Oreochromis niloticus: one gene and its partners. The protein of the gene in region 2 interacts with the protein of the main gene of each other region in a biochemical or structural test. Links are inferred from orthologs where the notes say so. Each region holds a gene or a part of one and is shown on either strand. Other genes may lie near its edges. The genes, in order: apoptosis regulator Bcl-2, fkbp8 and egln1a.

What was found.
Region 1: the proteins of fkbp8 (region 2) and apoptosis regulator Bcl-2 form a complex in vitro, tested with the Homo sapiens proteins (4 studies listed by BioGRID, with this or other methods). The link is inferred for Oreochromis niloticus from reciprocal best matches to the Homo sapiens genes FKBP8 and BCL2.
Region 3: the proteins of fkbp8 (region 2) and egln1a form a complex in vitro, tested with the Homo sapiens proteins (2 studies listed by BioGRID, with this or other methods). The link is inferred for Oreochromis niloticus from reciprocal best matches to the Homo sapiens genes FKBP8 and EGLN1.

The regions. Positions count from the first base shown.
Region 1 is NC_031982.2:16,825,744-16,833,693, forward strand, and holds the start of apoptosis regulator Bcl-2, read right to left. Parts: upstream 3,059-7,950; 5' UTR 2,431-3,058; coding exon 1,882-2,430; intron 1-1,881. Other genes in the region: kdsr (3-dehydrosphinganine reductase), read right to left, coding at 6,335-6,454, 6,553-6,654, 6,769-6,852, 6,992-7,075, 7,544-7,735. UniProt on the Homo sapiens protein: Suppresses apoptosis in a variety of cell systems including factor-dependent lymphohematopoietic and neural cells. Regulates cell death by controlling the mitochondrial membrane permeability. Appears to function in a feedback loop system with caspases.
Region 2 is NC_031986.2:34,623,150-34,630,265, reverse strand, and holds the start of fkbp8 (peptidyl-prolyl cis-trans isomerase FKBP8), read left to right. Parts: upstream 1-4,094; 5' UTR 4,095-4,267; intron 4,268-4,328; exon of another isoform or gene 4,329-4,547; intron 4,548-4,818; 5' UTR 4,819-4,830; coding exon 4,831-5,074; intron 5,075-5,201; coding exon 5,202-5,371; intron 5,372-5,485; coding exon 5,486-5,574; intron 5,575-7,116. Other genes in the region: ssbp4 (single-stranded DNA-binding protein 4), read left to right, coding at 362-391. UniProt on the Homo sapiens protein: Constitutively inactive PPiase, which becomes active when bound to calmodulin and calcium. Seems to act as a chaperone for BCL2, targets it to the mitochondria and modulates its phosphorylation state.
Region 3 is NC_031978.2:23,833,302-23,840,534, forward strand, and holds the start of egln1a (egl nine homolog 1), read right to left. Parts: upstream 3,054-7,233; 5' UTR 2,707-3,053; coding exon 2,008-2,706; intron 1-2,007. Other genes in the region: tsnax (translin-associated protein X), read left to right, coding at 5,794-5,809, 6,952-7,038, 7,127-7,233. UniProt on the Homo sapiens protein: Cellular oxygen sensor that catalyzes, under normoxic conditions, the post-translational formation of 4-hydroxyproline in hypoxia-inducible factor (HIF) alpha proteins.

The DNA of each region.
Region 1 (7,950 bases), on a different chromosome or scaffold from region 2:
ACAAAATCAACCCAATGTTTAGCAGACATTCTCAAAAACATACAAAAACACAAACACGTCAGTGTAAAACAGGCCGTCGTTTCGGCTCCAGAGGAGACAAAACATAGCAAAAAACCCCCAGCTTTGTTTCACAGACTGAAAACACAGTTGACTTTTATTACATTTCAACATCTGCAAAGCCAGTTTTCACAAACCCAATCCAGAGTACAGACAACGCTGTGTTTGCAACGTCAGTTATTAAAGGTCATGCAATAACTGAAGCACACACCTCAGGAAATTCCCTACCTGACACCCGTTCAGATGAATATAAATCAACACCGGTGCATGGCTGCATATGCGGAAGCTACAACAGAAACTGAGCTAACACTAACATATTCAGGATTAAACTGTTTTAGAGCCTACTTTGAGCTTAAAACTAATTGGATGAGGTTATTCATTCCCCATACTGCAGACATATGCTTTCAAATAATCCTAAATAATCCTTTGGATTAAAGAACTGTGCTCTTGCTCTCTCTCTCTCTCTCTCTGTCTGTCTCTCTCCAGTGGATGCACAGATACAGTCATCTCCACCCAGCTGTAAAACCCAAACTATGATGACCTACATTATTCTACAGTGGGCTCCAGAGACCCCGAGCAGGCATCTCTGCGGCCCCAGTCTGCGCCAGCTTCAAGGCACAGGTCTGAAAAAGGCAGACAAAAGAGTCCCAACCAAGATGCAAACAGAGGACGGCATGTTAAACACAGTGGCTGCAGATTAGCACTCTGTGTTCTTGGAGGGCCCTCCCTCTGTTGCCTCCCTTTGATATGTGGCACAACCTGCCACCTCCAGGGGCAAGGCAGACTCAAGGGGAATGTTAAACGGTCCTATCCTTTGAGATGAAACATTCGATATGAATCATTGATAAGCCCACTCAACACACGCCCCGTTTTTATGATACCTTCCAGCTAAGATAACCAGGCAGTGCAAACGTTATGCTCTCATTAAGAGCACCTCGGCTAATTAAAGGTTAATTCATTGCAAGTCAGTTTTGGTGACTACTGAGGTGCACAGCAACCCCCCTTTTTTCTTGCAGGAGAGTTTGCAGCTGTAACAAAAACCTGAAAAATGAATATGACAATGCATGCTTGTTTCAGATTCAGTGTGGGCATGCATTCAGCCAGGTGTGTGTTGTGCCAAAAAAAGGCCTCTGATAAGCTGAACCCTGTCCAGTTATGCCCAGAGGCCTAAACACATTAATTCAATAGTTTGCTCTTTGCTGACATGTGTCTGACCTCCTCCCTTCTGCAAGAATGAGGGCCTGCAATGCATCACGTGACAGCGGGACTGAAGCACTTTCGTGCATGAAGATTCAGATACAGGTGGATGGTGAAATGGCCTCTCTCTCCAACACCACACGCAGAATCCTGTTTCTTTTTATAACTAAGCTTTTACTTCCCCTTAGATAATAACCCCTGTGCTCCAATGACAGCTGCGCGTCTGCCTCTGCTCCTACAGTTGACAGGGCGGGTTTTTTATAGAGAGGCGTCGGGAGGTGTGATAGAGAAACCGCTGTTTGATTGGTCGAGTAAGTTTAACAGTCAACGAGATCAGCCAGTTAGAGCAAGTAAAGTAAAGCCGTTCATCTCGCTCGTTGCCTGTCGTGCGTCACGAGATCATCTTAAAAGGGACTTTTCTTTTTTTAATGATCAGCTACACATGTGGTTTCGATATTGAGCCCCGTTAAGCCAGATCAAAATGCACTTTTCAGCTCAATCAAACGTGTAGGCCTACACTGACCGAACTCACTCACTGAAATTCCTTTTAATCACAGTTAAAAGAGGACTTTTGCGAACCCTTGGCACACTGCTGCAAAGCGCTCAACTACACGGAATCAGACATACCCATCCCCCGTTATCTTGTATCCAGCTGTTAAGAGGTCCATTTAAATACTCCGTCATCCAGTCTGCGATGTTGTCCACCTGGGATGACATCCCCTCGTTGGAAGCGCACTCCACGCACACCGTGCCCCCAAACTCGAAGAAAGCAATAATCCGGCCCCAGTTCACTCCGTCCCGGAACAGTTCGTCTATCACCTCGGCGAACCTCCTCTGCGCCGTGGCGGAGGTGAGATGCAGCTGCCGCGACATCTCCGTGAAGTCCGGCTGGTACAGTCTTTCAAGTTCATCTCCAGCCTCGCGCAGGACTCTGTGGATGCCTGCGTGTGGGTCGGACTGTGGGAGCCGTCTGCAGAGGTGGGTGTTGCTCTCGCCGTCAGGCCCGGTGCTGGCTTCTCGGCACCGGTGGACCAAAGTCGGTGGAGGGTCAGTTATCGATCCGTTATTAGCAGCATCTTCTTCTTGGACAACGCGAAATCCCCACACGTATCCCCGCTTGGAGAGTTTATGGCAGATATACTTTTCCACAATATTGCGATTATACTCGTTCGCCATTCCGGCTCAAATTTGGCACTTTGTATATCCAGTGGTTATCCTAAATAAAATGCATTTTGACCAAATGTGTGCACCGTACAATGCTCTGCACAGGCTCGTCCAAAAAGCTGGGGCTGTATTCAAATAGATAATGCAGCGAATTATCCCACACAGAGAGGAGATACTTTACTCGTGAACTCGGGGAAAATCCCTTGAAGAAAACTGCACAGAAACACGCACTAGAAGTCAAAACAGGCTGGTTCCGTGTCAGCAGCAGTCTTCATTTCCCGAATCCTTGGAGGGACACTGGCGACCTTCTCTTTGCATAGAAATCCAATATGCGGAAGAGGTTGGGAGTAGTGTTGTTCTATTTCTGTGCACATCACCCAGACGTGGATGTGTTGCGATTAAAAAAAAAATATGAATGAAAGCCAAAGTTGTTCACGCCTGAAGGGGTTTTAAAGGCGGCCAACTGTTTTAGCAGCCTTACGCACGAACCAGACGCGGGACTGTGCGCCAGACAAGGTCGGACTGGAGTCCTCTTCCACGATTGCTCCACATATCCTCCGAAGCAGCTCCCTGTTCACCGCTAGTGGGCCGCACTGTTTAGTGAGGTATGCCTGACGTCAGCTGCGGAAAGTCTTTCCTTTGGCTGCTCCAAGTGCACACCAAGAACTGCGCTCAAACCATTTATAGGCCATATTATTATTACTGCATACTGCGTCCTCGTTTTAAGGCAGACCACGTTACCCAGAAAATTATATAAACAAGAATATTTTTAAGATTTAGATATTTTTTATGATAGAAGACAGAAATCTTAAAAGATCACAGGGTTAGGGGCAGAGGACCACCCCAGCGAGGGATTGCTTTGATGTAGTCCAGCCACCCCCTTGTGGACACAGACCTTACAAGTGCAAAACTGATGCACCACTCTACATTTTCCCTGTCTTCTTTAAACTTTTCTCATCTTTTTTAAAGCATCTCCCCTATTTGTCATCTACTTATTCTCCAACAGGTCTAACGAAGCATCTAAAGTCCTGCACTCTGCAAACCCGAGAGCTGCTGCTGCTTCGGGAAGTTCCCTTATGAAAAAATTAAATGTCATCCTCTATCAAACAGAATACTTAACGTCCTCAGTCCTCCACAAACCCTGCACTGTCAAAACTTATGAACCTCGATCATACTGAGATTAATTTAATTCCCCCCCCCTCTTAAGGCAAGTTCAGTCTAAGAGGTCTGGAGCAATTTAAGAAGAGACAAGGACACCCAGGAGTAAAAGGATTTAGGTTTTCTTCACAGGTATTTATTTAGTTTATCATGTAAGAAAATAAGACAAAGAAATGTTCCACTCCTCACATTTTCTTTCAATGGCACACAAGGTGAAGGTGTTAAGCTTTTTTGGCAGAAAGAGTATAAAGCAAAGAAAACAGAAAAAAAGCGTGAAACCAAAGAGTGCAGTATGACATGTTCAAGACTTTTAAATCCATTGAGCATCCGACAATGACACCATTAAACGAGGGAAACTAGCGTGACTCTTACAGAACTTAAATCTTTACTGTATGTTTAAACATATTGTTAGCAGAGGCTTGATTTGCATAGCTTAAAGTTGTGTTAGTGAAAACAAAACTGCTTTTACATGAGCTACATGTTCTATCCATCAATGTGTTGCTACCTCAAGGTAAAAAAAAAAAAAAAAAAGAAAAACCTTCTTAAAGCAATAAATGTACATTTATGGAAAGCTCTGAAGTGCGGGACAGTACGCCTTTAACCAATATCAAATGAGAACATCATCAAACATGAGTCATCCATTCTCACTTTCATGTCTTGGATTTCAGTAAGGCTTCTTTTGTCATAGAAACACTAGAAATTGACCAAACACACACAAACACACAAAACCCCCCAAACAGTTGGCATTTCACACCAAATAAGTCACAAAAAAAAAAAAAAAAAAAAAAAAAAAAATCACCCGGTAAACCAATCATCCACTAATGTATGAAGTCACATTGTTCTGCGGACGGGTCCACTCTCATAGCGTTCGCTTCATCAGTAGTCACGTCTTAAGGCTGTAGAATGGGCCACATGCTGCTATCCAGCTTTTATTAAGTAACACTAAGATCAAAAGAGCAGCGACATCAAAATAAACCACAAAGAAATGTGCTGCGATCTCAAGAAATTGTCTTAACACATTTTGGCATTCAAATATTGGTGTATTTAAAAAATAATGTTCCTACGTTCTGATTCGTATCGCTTTGCTATAAAGTACATTCTCTCCGACTGGACCAAAGGAAGACTTGCAAGAGTCAACATTGTATTTTCTTCTTCCTTTTGCATCCAAAACAATAAGAAAGTCAGATGGTAACTAAGAGTTGACACAAATCAGAAGGGAATCGATATTTTGTAATCTAGAGAGTTTTGAAGTCCCAGCAGTGCACGACAGCGTCAGTGCATGTAAAAAACAAAACAACACAACAACAAAAAAAGAGCATCGTAGAGATGAGGGATAACACTTCCACTCTTGTTCCTCCAAAAGTTTGGCCATTATATAAGATGACTCACCAGCGCCCTCACTAGACGTACAGAGACATGACTCGATCCAGCGAGTCGCGCCCATCTCTGAGTTACACCAACCTGACAGATTATGCATCTTCACTGGGGGTGGCTGAGAATGTGCACTGACACACAAAACTGCAAGTAAAAAATGATACGCTTCATGCTTCCTTTAGCAACTTATTAGTGTTTTTTGTTTGTTTTTTTTAAATTAAACTGACAAGTGCACGAGTGAAACTTAAAATTATGTGCTGGTTTATTTGTTTGTGTATCCCCTCCCACCCTAATCTTACGACTTCATGGCTTCAACCCATAGTACCTGCTTTACTTTCTTCATTTAGCTGGAATGACGAGGAAAACGTTTTTGCTGTCTTTATTCCCGAGACAAAAACTTTGAATGGCTTTACTCTTTCCGGAGGTGGTCGGCTCAGTCACAGCAAACACACTTTCACATCACACGGTTTTCAGCGACAACGCTGCATGTAAAGTTTTGGAATATTATCACTATTATTAATAATAATGATAATATGTGGAGATTATTTTATGCATTATAGATTTAAAAAAATTAAAGACAAACATAACAAGCTCTCTCCTGCCCTTTGATATCACTGAAGAGTACTGTCGTATAATGTATGACCTCAGTTCACGCACAAACACAAACAAAAATATCCTGCAGCATAAACAAAACACTGTGGGTCACGACCGCTTTTAAACACAGAGGTTATTCAGTCAAAGAAAAAAAAAAAAAAAAAAAAAAAGAGAGAGAGAAAAAAGGGAAGGATCTTTGCCTGCAAAGACCTGAAGTATGTAAAAGGTGGGAAAGAAAGGGCTTATATAGTGAAAACTGTAAAAACTCTCTAAAAGATGGAAATCTCTGATACATGCGGCACAATATGATGAAAAAGAGAGTAACAACTATTCTGTTTTCGCTATAGCCTCTGGTGGGGAAAAAAAAAAAAAAATTCAGGCCATATTTGGCACAACCGGTTAGACGGGCTGTTGCTTTTCTTCTCTGTGGGAACAAAAAAAAAAAAAAAAAAAAACCCAGGCTGTGGGATTTTTAGTCACCCCTCTTTCCTCTAAAGTAAGGCTGCTTCCACAAAAAGAAGCAGGTGGACACATTAAACTGAAGTCACCAGGGGAGAAAAAAATACATCTAAATGGCTATCAAGTCTGTGGAGTAGACACGTAAACATCTGCCACTTTCTTCCATTCCATCTGCTAAAGTTGACATCAGAAATGCTGACATGGCCTTTTATTTTTCAAACCCCACCCCCACCTATGGTTGTGCACTTGTACAGCTGGAGGAAGGGACTGGCTGGGAGGGCAGTGGGTAAAGGGTTGGGGGCATCGGGGTGTGGTGAAGGTAAGGCTGCAGTTACTCCCTCTTATTGGCCGCTTTTGACTGCTCCCTTTGAATCATACAGCGGCGCACGATGCTGTCAAAGCTCCCCAGGTAAAAAAGTGCGATGGTCCGAAACAATCCCATGGTGACAATCTGTGCGGGAATTTCAAAATAAAAAGGTTAGGCTTAAAATTGCAGATCTGCTGAGGAACGCTGCCTCCTGCAATTTCATATCATGTACAGGGCTGTACCTGCTGGAGACCCTCTGTGATGGAGGTGACGGGTGACATTCCACAGGTGAGCGCTGATAGCATGTAACCATCTGGACCGACAGAGCTGTTGAAGTTCCCCTGCTGTGAGATGAAAGAAAAACAAGCAGATACATTTGCCAAAGGAAAAAACAAACAAAATACAGAGCACACATCTTATTTTTAAACTGGGCACTGAATGTGATTCGAGCTTCTTACCACTGCATCCCTGACAATGATTTTGGCCACTTGGTCTGGTTGACAAACTCCAGAGGTTTCAGAGATTAATTTGGTCTCCAGAGGCTGGGAGAGGAAAGCGGATAAAGAGGGAGAGAGGGAGAGAGGGGTGGGGGTACGACCACAAGCATTTAAGCAGCAATAAAATTTACATAAAAAAAACAGGAAGTAAGAAAAGGACGTATTTCTCTGTACTGTTGCATACTTTTGTCTTGTTCTCTTCAGCCAGTCCTGGAGTGTCAGTGTCAGGGGGGTATGCCACAGTCACGTAGATATTGTAGGGTTTTATCTGCAGAAGGAAAACAAAGCAATAACTGCCTTAGCAATTCCACTACTGAGACCATGACAACTAACTACATACGTTAACATTTCAACAGCTCTTTGACAATAAAAGTTCGCCTGAATGCTACCTATACGTAGAAAAAGTATAATCATTACAGCACTGACGCTAGTGAAATGTCCTTTATCATCATCTTCACTCAAGCTGCAAACACACTGCAAGAGATATGCTTGTTGCATATGATGGCTGGGTGCTTGTGGACACTCCAGGCTCTGGCTGTTTAGGTGAACCTCTAATGCATTTATTCCCAGATCAAATGTCATTCTCCTTGGTAGTCGCTTCAGTTGAAGGAAATTGAGAAAAGTTTATCTTCAGTCCTGCCTACTTCTGGTCGTGGAATGTCGTTCGTATTCTATGCTAAGGAATGCTAAGAATTGCTTCAAGCATGTATGTAGGCCATTTTTGCAAAACACATACCTCCATCTGCAGTGACTCTGCAAGGCCTCGCAGGGCAAACTTAGATGGGGAGTAGGCAGTGTAACCAAACAGACCAATCTGGCCCGCCTGGGAGGAAACGAACATGATGCGGCCCATTCTTCGCTCCTTCATGGTGGTTATGACGGCTCGTGTTGGGTAAACGCTGCCCAGGTAGTTCACTTCCATCAATTTCTAGAAACGAAGGCTACATTAATACATACTATAACCAGAGTGTCCATGGTACATTACATTATTGTAGGCAGCTTCAGTCACTTTAAAACCTGAGCAGTTCACAGTGTCTTGATTCACAGCAGGCCATAAATTTAGCCACTTCTTCAAAAATTCTGACGATTTCTTACCAAGTCACAAATCAAACCTTTTCTAACAAGAACTTAATGTATGACGCT
Region 2 (7,116 bases):
CTCGCAGAAACACAGCATGCACACACACAAGCATGGACAAAAACACACATCATACCTTCTCTGGTGCATGGAGCCATTGCCGTAGCGTGATTAATGTCAGACTGTACCGTCACTGTGATCTGAAATTCCCTCACATTTTCTCTCTGGGCTGGGCTTCGCTCTGCTTGCTGAGTTTACTGACATACAGAATAAACTAGAAAGAGCTTTGTGTGTACTGTTTGCTGCTGAAGGCTGGTGGACTTGACATGGCATTTAGTTTAAGTAGCTGAACTGCTTTTATATTAAACTGGATAGTGGAACAAGTTAAATATAGTATTGGCTTATCTTTTCTCCCTTGCTCTCTTTTTTTCTCTCTTTACAGTATTCACCCAACATGACGATGAGTGTGTGATTTTTTTTTTTTTTTAATCTTTTATTTTATTTTACTTTTTCATCTCCCTTTATCTCAACCTCCCTTTCCCGTCCACCCTGATGCGTCTTGCATTACCCTCCTCCTCTTCCTCCTATTCGTGGATGGTGTGCTGTGCCACACAGCCCCTGGGGATTCCCCTGGAAAGCAGGATTCCCCTCAAGGCCCCCCATCCCACCAACACCTCCAAACTAGGTGTAAGAACATGAAAAGGCCTCCGAGCAGCAGGAAGGATCTCGTCTTCGCCCCATCGAGGGTCCGAGCGCCGCGAGACCCCGAACCTGCCCCAAGCCTGTCTTTCTCGAACCTGAAATCTGCCTTTGTGGGTGACGTCCAGGCCCAATCGAGACGCCCCTCCGCATTCAGCTCCGCCCCGCCGTCACCCTGTTCTCACATCAAGCTGATTAAAACTGACGAGGGCGCGCAGCAGTCCTCCGACCCGGGGCCAAGAGCCCTCATTTTAAAAGCTCTGCTCCTGTGACAGGATTGGTTAAAAAAGATGAACTGATGATGTCATTTTGGGGCGTGAACGGTTTTCATTCAGTGTTTGTATTTTTTGTTGTTGCTGATATTATTGTTCTAATTTTCATAATTGATATCGTTTGACTAATGTAGTTATGATTTCCTGTAAAGGGCACATTTTCTCTCAGCAGCAGCGTCGACGGTGACAGAATAAGCACACGCTCGTAAAATGCACAATGATTTTCTGTTTATGTGATTTGATTTGTTGTTTGTCTCGTTTCTGCCACCGTCAGCCTCGCGTCACAAAACTCCTTTAGTGTTTGCCTCCTAAATGTGTTCCCCAAACTTCACGGGAAGAGTATCTGGGTAACCGAGGTGGGTTTTCAGGTACAGTGTGTCTGTAGATGCACCTGACGATCACACGTCTAACTGTACTGTCTTAAAAAGTAACCCTTCTCCTAGCTTCCTGCTCTTTTGCTGGTAGAAAATGGCTCCGATGACACCCTGACGTGATTGTCAGGATTGTCAGGTGCCATTTTTAATTCAGAAATTTTGTGAATCCACTCGTCTCCTCTACGGATTGGGTCTTTTCTTTAAATGTAACATATTTAGCTTGTACTGTGTTTTCTTTTCTTTCTTTTTTTTAATTATTTGTTATTTACAAGTCGTCTGTGACTCCTGGAACGTGTTTCCTTACCCTTCATCCTCTTGCTTTGTTTGATTTCACTGCTTTTATGGACTCCAAGTGGCCCCTTTTTCCTCCCAGGATTCATTCTGGTCCATCCAGCGACTCCTTTTGGGCTGGAAGCAAATGTGGGAGACACTCGTTTGGGTTGAAATCACAAATCCTGCTGGGTCCACCTTCTTAACTGTGGGTTAAATACCTGCCTCTGTGGAGTTCCCATCAGAGAGTCCCATATGCGCGGGATAATGGACCCGGGTGAGCGGCAGTGGGAGCGCTGATGATGGGAGCAGAGTTGATTGTAAACCATCTAAAGAAGAGGATTACCTGCAATCAATAAGTTTCTATTTTTTTTTTAATTTCAATTGTATGGAATTGATTAAAAAAATAAAGCCCATAGAATCTGCACACAGACATGTCACAGTCACACAGTACGCTATTTAATTTGTTTCTGATGAACGCTCGCTGTCACCGGTTCAGAGGGTAAACTGTTTCTTTCAGTTGCTTCGCAGCTGTTTTCAAACCAACAATAACTGAGCAACCAGCGTTGCCTCTATGGGTGGTGGTGATGTACTTATCGATTTCCTGATATCAATGTGAACAGTTTGTACGCAGCGTTAAACAGGGACATCTCCAGGGTCTGGGCATCGGTGGCCTGGGGATCACTCAGTCCGGTGTTCCTCCTATGTAGTGACACACGCCTCCCCCACCCCTCCCCCTCCTTCCACACCCCTCACCCTTTGATTTCCCTTTTTGTAAATACTGTATAATGCATTTTGATATCATTGACATGTTTTGATATGTCAGTCACTACCAATGAATACAGCTGAAAGTAAATTATAAATAGATCTGTCCATGTTTTTCATAGTGAAAGGATGCACTATTTGGCTCATGTGGCTAAATTTCTAGAATACAGTAAATATGGCTAAATGTATAGAATACATTGACACACTTAATGCAGACCGTACGCTAAAGGCGTGCGTGGCGGGGAGGACGGGACAGAGAGGAGCAAAGAGCCGCGGCGTCCTCGCTCTGCCCTCCACTCCTCGTGTTTCGGTTTTGAAAAATCATGTGAATAGTTTTTCCAGAAAAACGACAAAAAAGGGCATCTTCTCACAAAAAAAAACATGTGACCTCATATTGCAGTTTTTAATATGAAGGATTTTTATCAATTTAAGAAACTTTTAAAAAGGAAAAAATACTTAAGGAAACCTCATTTTAAATTAAGAAGATCAAAATGTAATACTTATGGGGAAAACTGTGTCCTTTGCTATTCGCTCCTGTAATAGCGTTGTATAGTTTGAAGCTCTCTCACTGATCCTCTCTCAGTCCTCTGTGTATATCGATCGTCGGCCATCTCTGTACTTCTATTGTGATGTATAATACTGTACCATTAGGAAGATTTGCTGGTCGGGCGGGGGGGTTGTATTGAGACGGGGAGGGGTGGGGAATCGGGGTAAGGGCGTATAACGATTCTCCTGTACCGTTCACGGTCCTTTCTGATGACACGGCAGTATTCAATATGAAGCAGTCTGTCTCTTGGGTTTGCTTTGTATTTCATGGTAGGATAGTTCAGAATCTTGTCTTAGGGACTTAGGTGTCTTGTGTAGGTAATAAAGATGTTCTTTGTATGTTTCTTTATATTGTAAAGTTTCTTTAGACTGAAAGAAAAACAGATAATTTGCTTATCAAAAAAGAAACAATGCATCAATAATAAATGTCATTTGATTTTTCCTTGTTGTTTGACTCTCTCTCCCTCTTAGCGCTCATTTAACTCATCTTCCATATAGTCTCGGGCAATCGCTCTTGAGTCATCCCTCGTTTCTTCATATTTTGCTTCCAAAGAGCTGGGCTTATCATTGTTTTGCAAGTGCGCTTGGGCAATAGTCCTGCGGGCTTTCTGAAGAATTTTCTACGTTTTTCTTTTGACATTGTCTGCACAGATGATTCATTCAAGAGAATCCAGGCTGTGCTGAAGAATATAGGTGGTCACACCAGATACTTTAAAGCCTCTTCTGTACTGTATTTCCATCTGTTTTCTACATGTTTTAATAAGGTGCTGCAGTTATTTCCCATTAACCAAGCCCAAGGAGTGACTCAAGACTTTTGCTTGTTCGTGATGATGTTAATCAGTAAAAACATATTTCCACTGGAAACATATTTTTCCTGGAAAACTTTACATCAGCATTGTTTATTTGTGTTTGGATGAAACACATGTCTAGCCATGGTGAATATGTAAATCACAGTTTTAAAATCATTTTTCAGAATAAATCAAAACATTAGAGAGCTGCACACAAAGTCTTCATGTGTAAATTCACCCCTTAAATCACTGATACAAACTGTTTGTTTGTTTTTTTAATTTAATACATTTTGAGTGTTCTTAGCTTTCAGTGTGCTCATCGGTGTTTTAAACTAGCAAAAATAAGTCATTTTATATCATTACAAATAGCAGCTGCAGGCGTACATGGCTGCCTCTGAGGTAAATTATGAATAAGCATGAAACATCCAATAAACGTGCAGGGTCTCAAGGTTAACAGGAAGCAGCCTGCTTGGGGCTGTTAACAGATCGTGGCGAAGTCAGGTTGATATTGGCATGCAGCGACACATCCAGGTCTCACTGGCTTCATGTTCTCCGACAGCAACCTAACTTCAGCACTGCGAGCTAAAGGAGACTGCTCAGAACCAAAACACGGCTCTTCACAGACAATTTCGGGGTAAGCATCCGGTTATTTTGATACAGGCTTTTTATTATAAAATCCCTAACTCTGACTCACTCCACCGGGGATCGGTATAAGCAGTGATAAACACTCAGAGACAGTAAAAAAATTGCTAATTTAATGCTGACAACTAGCAGCTAGCTAGCTGTACATCCTCGGCTAACGTGTGCTAGCAGCAGCCTGCCATCCGTGTGGGAACACATGACAGCAGGGCAACTTGTTAGAAACTTCTGGAAACGTCTGGTGGGCTTTCTTGCTGTAGAACAACAGTTAACAGGTAATGTTGAGGTGAAATCGCATCACGTCACGCCAAAATCGATTAATAATCCTGATCGATTCAGAGCGAAAGCAGGTTTTATTTCAGTGCTGTTAGCCTGTAACAAGCTCAGTGGTGCGTGACTGACAGGGGATCTTTAAACACTGTTTTGAGCTTTAATTTGAATTGGACTCCGTGTTTTGGAAGGGCACACGCATTAAGAGTTAAGCAAAGGATCATTTTTGACGTTGTCTCCCGTCTTTTTTTTTTTTCTTTTTTTTTTTTTTACCAGAGGGGTCTGCTAATGACTGACAGAGAGGAGATTATGGAGTCGGATAGCCACGATAATGCGCAATCAGCAAAGAAGAACAGCAAAACGTCGCTGCTGGACAGCGGAGAAGACTTCGAAGTTTTAGATGAGGAAGACATTGACGACGACGAGCCGCCTCCTCTGGAAGATGTCGGGGAAGGGAAGGTGCAACCCACAAATCCAGAAAATACAAACCCCGACCCTACAGGTCAAGTCGATGAATGGCTGGATGTTTTGGGTATGTAGGACCCATGATGTGCTCCACAGCAGTGTAGGCTGTGCTGCACTTTGCTTGATTAGTGATGGGCATTGAGCCTGATATGGACAGTGGTCAGTGTTGTACATGTGACTGTGTCTGATTCCAGGTAACGGGCAGTTGAAGAAAAAAGTCCTGAAGGAAGGCGAAGGGCGAGACAGTCGACCACAGAAAGGACAGAATGTGAAAATCCGTCTTAAAACGAGCCTGGTGGACGGGACTGTCGTAGAGGAGAAGCCTGATCTTGCTTTCACTTTGGGAGATGGTGATGTAATCCAGGTAAAGACCTGTTAGATTAGTTTATTAATGCTCTTTGCGGAAGTTTGTGTGCAGAGTTTGCACACTTCATGTGTGATTCCTTAATTTTCTGAAGAGAGCTTTTCTTCTTTTCAGGCACTGGATCTGACAGTCCAGCTCATGGCGATGGGAGAGGAGGCACTCATCCAGACTGATGCCAAATATGCATATGGTGCCAGAGGAAGGTAAGGAAGTGTTTGAGGCTGTTTTTCCATGTTGTTATTTTTTGTATTCAAGTTTAATAATGGCCCTCTCACAATGCTAATTCATTTAAAAGTGGGTTTCAGTTCTCTGTCTTGTCCACTTACCTAATGAAGCTTTAGTGACTTTCTGATCACACTTTGGAGAGCACAGGTCTTGGCTTGTGCCACTGTTTCTCACAGTAGTTTCTAGAGTTAAGTGTGGGTTATCGTGGCCGATAAGGCTGTATCGGCACATAGCTAATATTAGCCGATCTGTTGGCGTGGTTCTAGTTAGAGGTTACAAAATGGTTTATCATGAGCTTTATCTTAACCAATTAAAACAGAAGAATCCTTCTACAGCGATGCATAACAATAATAATCTCATGTTGGTTTAATATTATAACAGGAACAGGGAAAACCCAACAATCAAACAACAAAAATCAAAAAGTAATTACCCCCTAAACCTGATAACTGGCTTTTCCACCACCAGGCATTTGTGATGCCTTCAGTGAGTCTTTCACATCACTGTGGAGGAACTTAAGCCCACTCTTCTTTGCAGAAATGCTTTAATTCAGACACACTGGAGGGTTTTCCAGCATGAACGCCTGTTTAAGATCACGCTGAAGCAGCTCAGTCCAGACTTTGACTCGGACACTCCAAAACATTCATTTAGTCTTTCTGAGCCAATCAGAGGTGGACTTGCTGCTGTGTATGGATCATTGCTCTGCTCCCTGATTTCGCTTGAGCTTTGGGACATGAAGTGATTTGCGGACATCCTCCTTCCGGTATGGAGCAGAATTCATTGTTCCCTCAGTTACAGCGAGTCGTCCTGGAGCAGCAGAGCCGCCCAGACCATCACACTACCAGCACTGTGTCCACCTGCTGCTGGGATGTTCTCTTTATGAAACGCTGTTAGTCTGATGCAGATGTAACAGGACTCAAACCTTCCAGAAAGTTCATCTTCTGTCTCATCAGTCAGAAGATTTTCCCAGGAGTCTCTGGGGTCATCCTGCTGTTTGTTGGCAGATGTGAGATGAGCCTTTGTGATCTTCTTGGTCAGCAGTGGTGTTCTCCTTAGGCTCTCCCACTGAGGCCATTTTTGCCCAGTCTCTTTCTTATGATTGAGTCATGACCTCTGACCTTAACAAAGCCAGACGAGGCCTGCAGGTCATCAGATATTGTTCTGGTTCTTCTGTGACCTCCTGGGTGAATTTTGGTGGGCCGGTCACTCCTGTGAAGGTTCAGCACTGTTCCCAGTTTCTCATGTGCGGATAATGGATCTCACTGTGGTTCACTGGAGTCCCAGAGCCTCAGAAATGTCCCTGTAATCTTTTCCAGACTGATGGATGTCAGTGATTTTGTTTCTCAGCTGTTTCTTTAGATCTTTTAGCCTGCGTCACTTTGTCAGACAGCTTCTATTTAAGTGATTCAGCAGGACTGACAGCGATCAGGCCACAGTTCATTTATCATTTAACAAGGGGAACGGTTACTTTTTTTACACAGGGCAGGTAGGTTTAGATAGATTTTTTTTCCCTTAATAAATGA
Region 3 (7,233 bases), on a different chromosome or scaffold from region 2:
GAAATCGCTCTGAAAAACTGATTTAATCTCAAACAGCTTGATGTTTAGGTTAATAAATAATTATATTAAACAATCAAGATTATAATATTAACTAAAATCATTAAAAAAATGTTCACAGTCCAGCAGCTTTTATTTATTCTCAACCAAGAGAGCAGATATTTGTGATGGCTCCATCCACTCCATCAACTGTGTGACTACAAAGTTGGTTTATTTCTCTAATATTATAATAAAAGGCCCGTTGCTTTAGTGTTTTTTGCTTCTAGCCAGATTCAAAGTGATGTTGCTAAACTTCTAGTTAATAGTGACTATAGCTTTCAGAGAATTTCCCTCAGGAGAAGAGGAGGAAGAGGAGAAAGCCGGAAAGCACCTCGTCCTCTCCTGAAGCAGTCTCATGCTATAAGGCCATGGTGACCAGATCTGTCAAGAGTCGCAGGTCACACGCAACCATCTTTATCCACTAGACAGCACTAACAGTTAGGAAAAAACAAACCAGGTGCCAGGAGAGCTTCTGAACCCTAGCAGCTCAGCCTGAAAAAACGAGAACATCCGACAATTAAAAACAAGTTCTTAGAAAACACATTTTAGTGAAACAGAAGCTACCCACAGCTTCCTCTTCCCCCAGAAACACACAGGTTTTCTTCTCAGTATGGGAATGCTGCCTAACCAAATACGTCTGTGCGTGACACTGAACTTATCACCACAACCTGTCACCACTAAAGCGATGTCAGAGGTCATAGTGAGCCGCAGTAAATTCTCAGTAGAATGGGGCCTCGGGCTGGTTTCTGCCACATGGTTGCAGCTTCTTCACATCACTCACATTTTACCAAAAACAAAAGCTAAAGTACAAACATATGAATGCAATATATACACTCTGATGAGCTGGACTGTCTTTGCTGTTTGTGGATGTGGCAGCATGTGTTAGCTGTGTTAGTCGTCTCACTGGTCAGAATGACCTTCCTGAAACTAACGCAGTCTGTCACAACATAATAGCTCCGCTATTCACTGCTTACTAAGGTGCTTTCAGCGAAATCTGATCCCTGATTTGGAGACTGTGCTTTCTATATCTGATTCTTTCCCCATCACGTTTATTTTAAATAGAGCACCAAACATAATTAAACAGCTACGAAACACATCTAAAAACCAATAGTCATTCAAAATATGAACAATACACACTTAATGGAGGGAGGATTTTAGCAGTTTTTGTCTTAGGTGCATTTACTTTGCATAATAACTAAGAAACTGAGTGCAACCTGTAGAAGTGAGGACTGGATTTGAGCAGTAATCTATGGATAATATGGATTAAGGAATATATTCTGTAGGCATCAGAAAGCTCAAGTATTTACACATCTAATATACTTTTTTTTTTTTTTTTTAAATCATTTTAGGCTAGAATAAACAGTCCAGCATGGCATATGCTTGCAGCTGCTTGCTAGAAAAAGCCACGAGACAACAATGTGCCTCGTGCTTTGCTTTCATTAGATTTCAGCTGGATTTCATTTGATTCAAAGATGCTGCAGACACGTGATCTATCCAAATTTAGTCTTTCTTATTGGTTGAGGTATTGCGTTTATTTAAAGCAATGATTTGAGGGTGTCTTTCTATTGCCATGGCGACCGAACACGTGCGCTGTCTGTGCACACTCTTCATGCGTCCAAAACAAAACCATTAACATGTGAGCAGCACCAGCAATCACCTTTCTGACTCAGAGCAAAGCCAGAAGAGGACTCGGCAGCCTCTAACCCGCAAAGTCGAATCTAATTAGCAAACAGGGCTGATCTATTACACCTAATAGCACCTTAACGACAAAGTGGGAGGAAAAAAAGCTTCTGCAGAATGATGCATCCCTGTTAGAAATCTGTGGTACTTTTGATTTCATCCCCACGCAGCCAGAGTACTGCTGCTTTCCTGACCTTGTAGTGTGTGTGGCAGGTGTCACACCAGCAAGCCTCTGGCTCCTGGGGGATGAATGCAGTAGATGCGCAGTGTGCGCGTGTGCTTCGTACTTACCTTTGTTCTTCCATTTATCGTATAGTTTCCCAGTTTGCCATTACAATGTCTAATCAGGTCGTCCATGCGATTCATTAGAAATTGGATCCTCTCGCAGTGGGGCTCCTTGCCATCGATCCACGTGATTTTATCACCTCGGATGTCTTTAGTGGAGTCGCTCTTTTGACTCACCAGTTGACCGTCCGTGAACTTGCCAGTTTCGTACAGGGCCTTGACATTTTCAAGAATGCCCAGCCCGATCTCTGCTCCTAAAAAGTCGTCCACCACACAGATGCCGTGCTTATTCATGCACGGCACTATGCACTCCAAGGCAAGTTTCTGCGGGGATAAGCTGCTCTGTCCGTTAGGTGTGGCAGTGCTGTCAGACCTATTATGTTCAGCTCTCACTTCAATTCTCAGTGCTTTTGTGTTTGTACTTGTGTTTGCACTGTCCGCTTCCTCGGGGCTTTGCTCTTCTCGACATTTCTCAGGCGTCTCGTCGTCCCCAGGCTGCGGTGCCTGCTCGGGCTTCTGTGCAGGCAGCTGCGGCTTGTCCGCCTCCTTACAAATGAGCTTGTGTTTCTTCCAGTCCTGCTTCTGGTGCTCCTTGCTGCAGTAGAAGGAGCTGCGGCATCTACCGCACTTAAGAAGGTTATCAAACCTCCCGCAAAGTTCACAGTACTGTCGGTCTCGGTCCAGCTCGCTCTGCGGCTTCTCCATGTTTTGAGGATACAGGAGGCGTACTGCTCCTTTAATACCGATCCTTCACGCGCCTTGCTAATCGACAACTTTGGAAACGACCCGCCGCCGCTGCCACGCTGATACCCAGGGGAACCAAACACTCAAAACCCAGCCATTTTATCGCACTCATGTCCTTTTCTGCCTCGTGTGTCAGTGGAATAACACGACAACGTGCGCCCACGGACCAGCATTTAGGGGTGGGTCGAGGTCTTTGGGAGGCATTTCTGCAAGCTAGCTCTACTTCCCGGGGTAATGGATGGCGCCGCTCAGAGTGTGCTCAGCCAGCCCTGCCCGAGGACCGGCCCGCTCTGACGTCAGCACAAAGGCACCGCCTCTCTCGTGCTGCCTTCAGGTGCGGTCGGACAGACAGTTGGCGGTGAAAAAGTGGCGTGCTCGCGACACGTGGAAGTTCATGTTCAAGTCTTGTCGGGGGTATAAAGGGAGCATGCGCCTCTGGTCAGTCAGTAAAAAGTGATGTAAATATGTTACCCTATCTGTTTCAGTTATGCAATATATTCATGTTCTCTAACAGTGCAGAAAATTAGCTCCACCAACCATGCAGTAATAGGTATAAATAAAAATCCGACATGCAAAATGTGCAACAGACTGAAAGGACATAAATGCACTTTTATACTTTGAGTACACAATCCAGTATAATAGGTTATAAATCCAATGTTGCTTTCTTTATTACTTTCCCCAATACTGTAACACTGCAATACTGTGTAATGGCAAATTAAAGGTAGCGCTGTCATTTAAATTTGACGCAAACCGCTTACAGATTTGTGGAAAGGACAAGCAAAAGAGATATAGCCATATGGCAAGTGTTGCTTCAAGCATCACTGACTCGTTTTGTGCGCATTTCCTATCGAAGCAATAGTATCATATAGCCTAAATCATAAAGTAAGAAACCAGATTCTGATGAGCATTTGTCTACCTGAGTGTGGTTGTGCTGTTGTAATTATTCTATATTAAGCAAAAGAAGCATCTAAAAACCTGTGTCGTGCCAAAAAGTGATTTCTGTTATGTGCCAAAAAAATAATAATAAAAATAAAAACATAATTGGAGGTATTTACGTTGCTGCAAATGACTAATAATCTGCTAAACATACCACTCATGAATGATAGCAAATCGTTTTGAGCCCTGTCACCTTGTGATGTTAAGCAAGTCAAATATGTCGTTAAAATTAAAATGTCAAGAACTAACATCACACTTCTATAAAGATATTTTAATTGGCCAAAAGGGACTGGATTATAATCATGATGTTGATGCAATAAGATGGAGTCATAAAGATTTTTTGCAGAACAAGTCGTTTCTTCGTTTTATATATAACCCCTTCGTGACTCCTGTTGACTATAGTCTATTTATGAGAAAAAAGACATAATAAAAACAGAAGAATCGGAAACCAGTTTTTGGCACAAATCAGTTTGTAGGAGCTTGAAGGGAGCACCTGAAGGCATCTCCAGTCAGCAGCAATGTGTTGTGCTCTCATTCCTGGCTCGCATAGGTGAAATTCCTTTCGCACAAACAAAAAGTTAAAGAGCTTGCTGCTGTTATGATAGACAGATAAGTTGGGTGGTGTGCAGTTTATGAAACTTAGGATTGTGACAGACCGGTGACTTAAATCACTTACTGGAAGCCATAATGGATAACATTTTAAATTTTATGAAGCATGGAGATACTCATATAAATATTCTATGACAAACACCTGTCATTCATCACAACGATAAGTTACATTGTTTTGTTTTTTTCATCTGGGTCCTGGTCTCATTCCACAAATATAATATACACAAAACAATCATCCACAATGACACACCAAAGAGATGTAAAACGGTAGTAAAGAGACCAAATGTCAATACGAAGATGTAAAATGACTAAAATGAGACACAAAGTGAACTTAAAGAGATACAAAGTTACAACAATGACACATAGAAAATATAAATAAATAAAATAAATAAATACCCCAATTGTCACTCAAAATTAGATAGTAAACCCAAACGTGATGATATGTACATTTATCCCAAGAGAGTGGTTGTAAAAAGATGAAAGAAGTATCACAAGTGAAAAAACAACTTCTCGGTGATGTTAGATGACCACAGGGAGACACCAAATTTTAAATTGAGACGTGAAAATAATCATGAAAAATGAATGAAAACAAACGTATGCAGTAAGCATCACACAGCAGTGGCCAAGATTCAAAAAGATGCACAGATGGTTAACAGAAAACAATCACAAATCACATCTGCAGGGCATCCAGTAAAGACATTTCACTCATCTGTGGAAGAAGTCAGGGTGGAACTTTTTGTTGAAAAGACAAGTAATCTGCTAAACGTTGATTTAGATATTCGATGGAATATCTAAGATACCTGTTATTTTAGGTTGATAGTCTGGAGAATTTCTACGTTTGAATTTTGACTGGAAAGAGAAAGTTCTGTGTGGCACACCTTTCTTTTTAAATTTGGTATGGGAATATCTAATTAGTATACATGGCATCTTCAAGAACTTACCTAATAGTTATAACGTTTATAACGTCATAAAAAGCGATTATTATGTAATTATTATAAATGTAGCTATTATATGTTTGTATTGTTTTTAAGAAATTGTGTTATTATTATAAATGCAATTGTTATATAATTACGCCAGATATTTTCGCTACTTTCTAAAATCAGATTCTAATTATTTAAAAATTATTTAATTATTTAAAAATTAGTAATAAGGAAAACATTGTAATAAAACTAACTCCTGATTTTGCCATTTAACTACGTATCCCGTGATGCATCTCTTTGAATTTCCTGCTACGCGTGTAAACAGCGCAAAAGCCCCGCGATGGACTGAGGTCCGCACCAATGCCTGTTATTAAAACCAAGAAAACACCGTTTTATTCGCGTTAAAATATATGCAGGCTCTACTAATTTTGTTTTCCATCGTCCAGAGAACATTATTTTTTCTGCGTAAAGCGGAACTATTTTGTTCTTTGTTTGTAATAATGCTCAACCTTTACGTTTGACTGGCACTGGCGTTAGTGGTTAAAATACACCCCTAAAAACTGTGCACTACAACACCGAAGCTATGAATAAACGAGAAGGTAAGTCCAAGATTTCTTCCTTCTAGTTTCATGAGTTTTGTAATTAACTAGCGAGGCTAAAATAACAGTAGGACTAACATGTGATAGCGTTTTAACCTACCTACTCTGCCTAAGTCAGGTTAATGAAATCATTTCATGGTAGTAACAGAAGTAATAAAGTGCTAATCCTGTTCCATTAAAATATCTAAAGCACATACTAGTGCTTTATTTGTCTGGCCATTAGAAGTGGGAATCACGAGAAACCCCACAAGAGAATATCATCATAATACGTCACCTACGATACAATAGTATTGTGATTTTTTTTTAACGTTTTGCATTACGCTAAGTATCACATTTGTCTTTTTCAACTGCAGTGTATGCATCATTTTAAATAAAGTTAACTCACTTTCAATATTTTTTTGCTGCAAAAGCGAGATTATAATGCGTGCCAACACTGTCACTAAAATCTGCCATAAATGTTTCTATCAGTCTCCGATTGAATGGGGTCAAGTTGGCAATTACATGCAATCTGTACACTCACGCACTCAAACTCTGAGCAGCCATTTGGTCACTACAAGTTGCCATTGGCTGCTGAATGGGAAAAATCTCACCAGGCAGCCACTGTTGTTGTCATTTTTTTTGTACATACAAGAAATTTACTGTCCTATTTTATTTGTGTGACTGTCAAGCCAAGTGTGTCCAGTGTTTGATGTTTCTTCAAAGTGGTGCATGAGATGAGCCGTCTCATTTTTAGTATTCCTTAAGTATTTTAATTTATTTAATAAAATATTGATATTTGGTGTCCCTGTAGCGATACAAATTCACGATATTATGCTGTGTCCATATTTTTTCTCATCCCTACTGGCCATCAATCCAAGCAGGCGCTTAATAATTATAAGTAAAAAGGTGAATTTAGGCATTCTCTTCTTAAGATATCAACAGATCATGTCAGCTGTTGCAGGTTATATTTTGGGTCACTTGAATATTCCAACCACATTTTAAAGAGGGTTCTCTATTATTTTTATTTATTTATTTTTTTTTTTACTGCATTTCATTTGTCATTGTGGAATTCTGGGAGTTAGATTTATTGTATGTTTTTTCAATTTACCAAAAAGTCAGAGGCAGTTATTATTTAAAGACTATGACATCATCTCTACTGTCAGGTGAGGGGTGTTCACGGAGAAATGCAGATGCAGCACAGGAGCACGAAATGAGTGCCAACCCCTCGTCTGTCATGGCTGCCTTCAAAGGTAACAGCAGTATTCTCACTGCACTTTGCACCCAAATGGTTTCAATGTTATATTGCCTGCACTGAAACATTTCTCTGTGTATTTCAAGGTTTCCAACAGGAGCTCGACACCAAACATGACAAATATGAGCGTCTTGTTAAGATTAGTCGCGACGTCACAATTGAAAGCAAGAGAACCATATTTCTTCTGCACAGA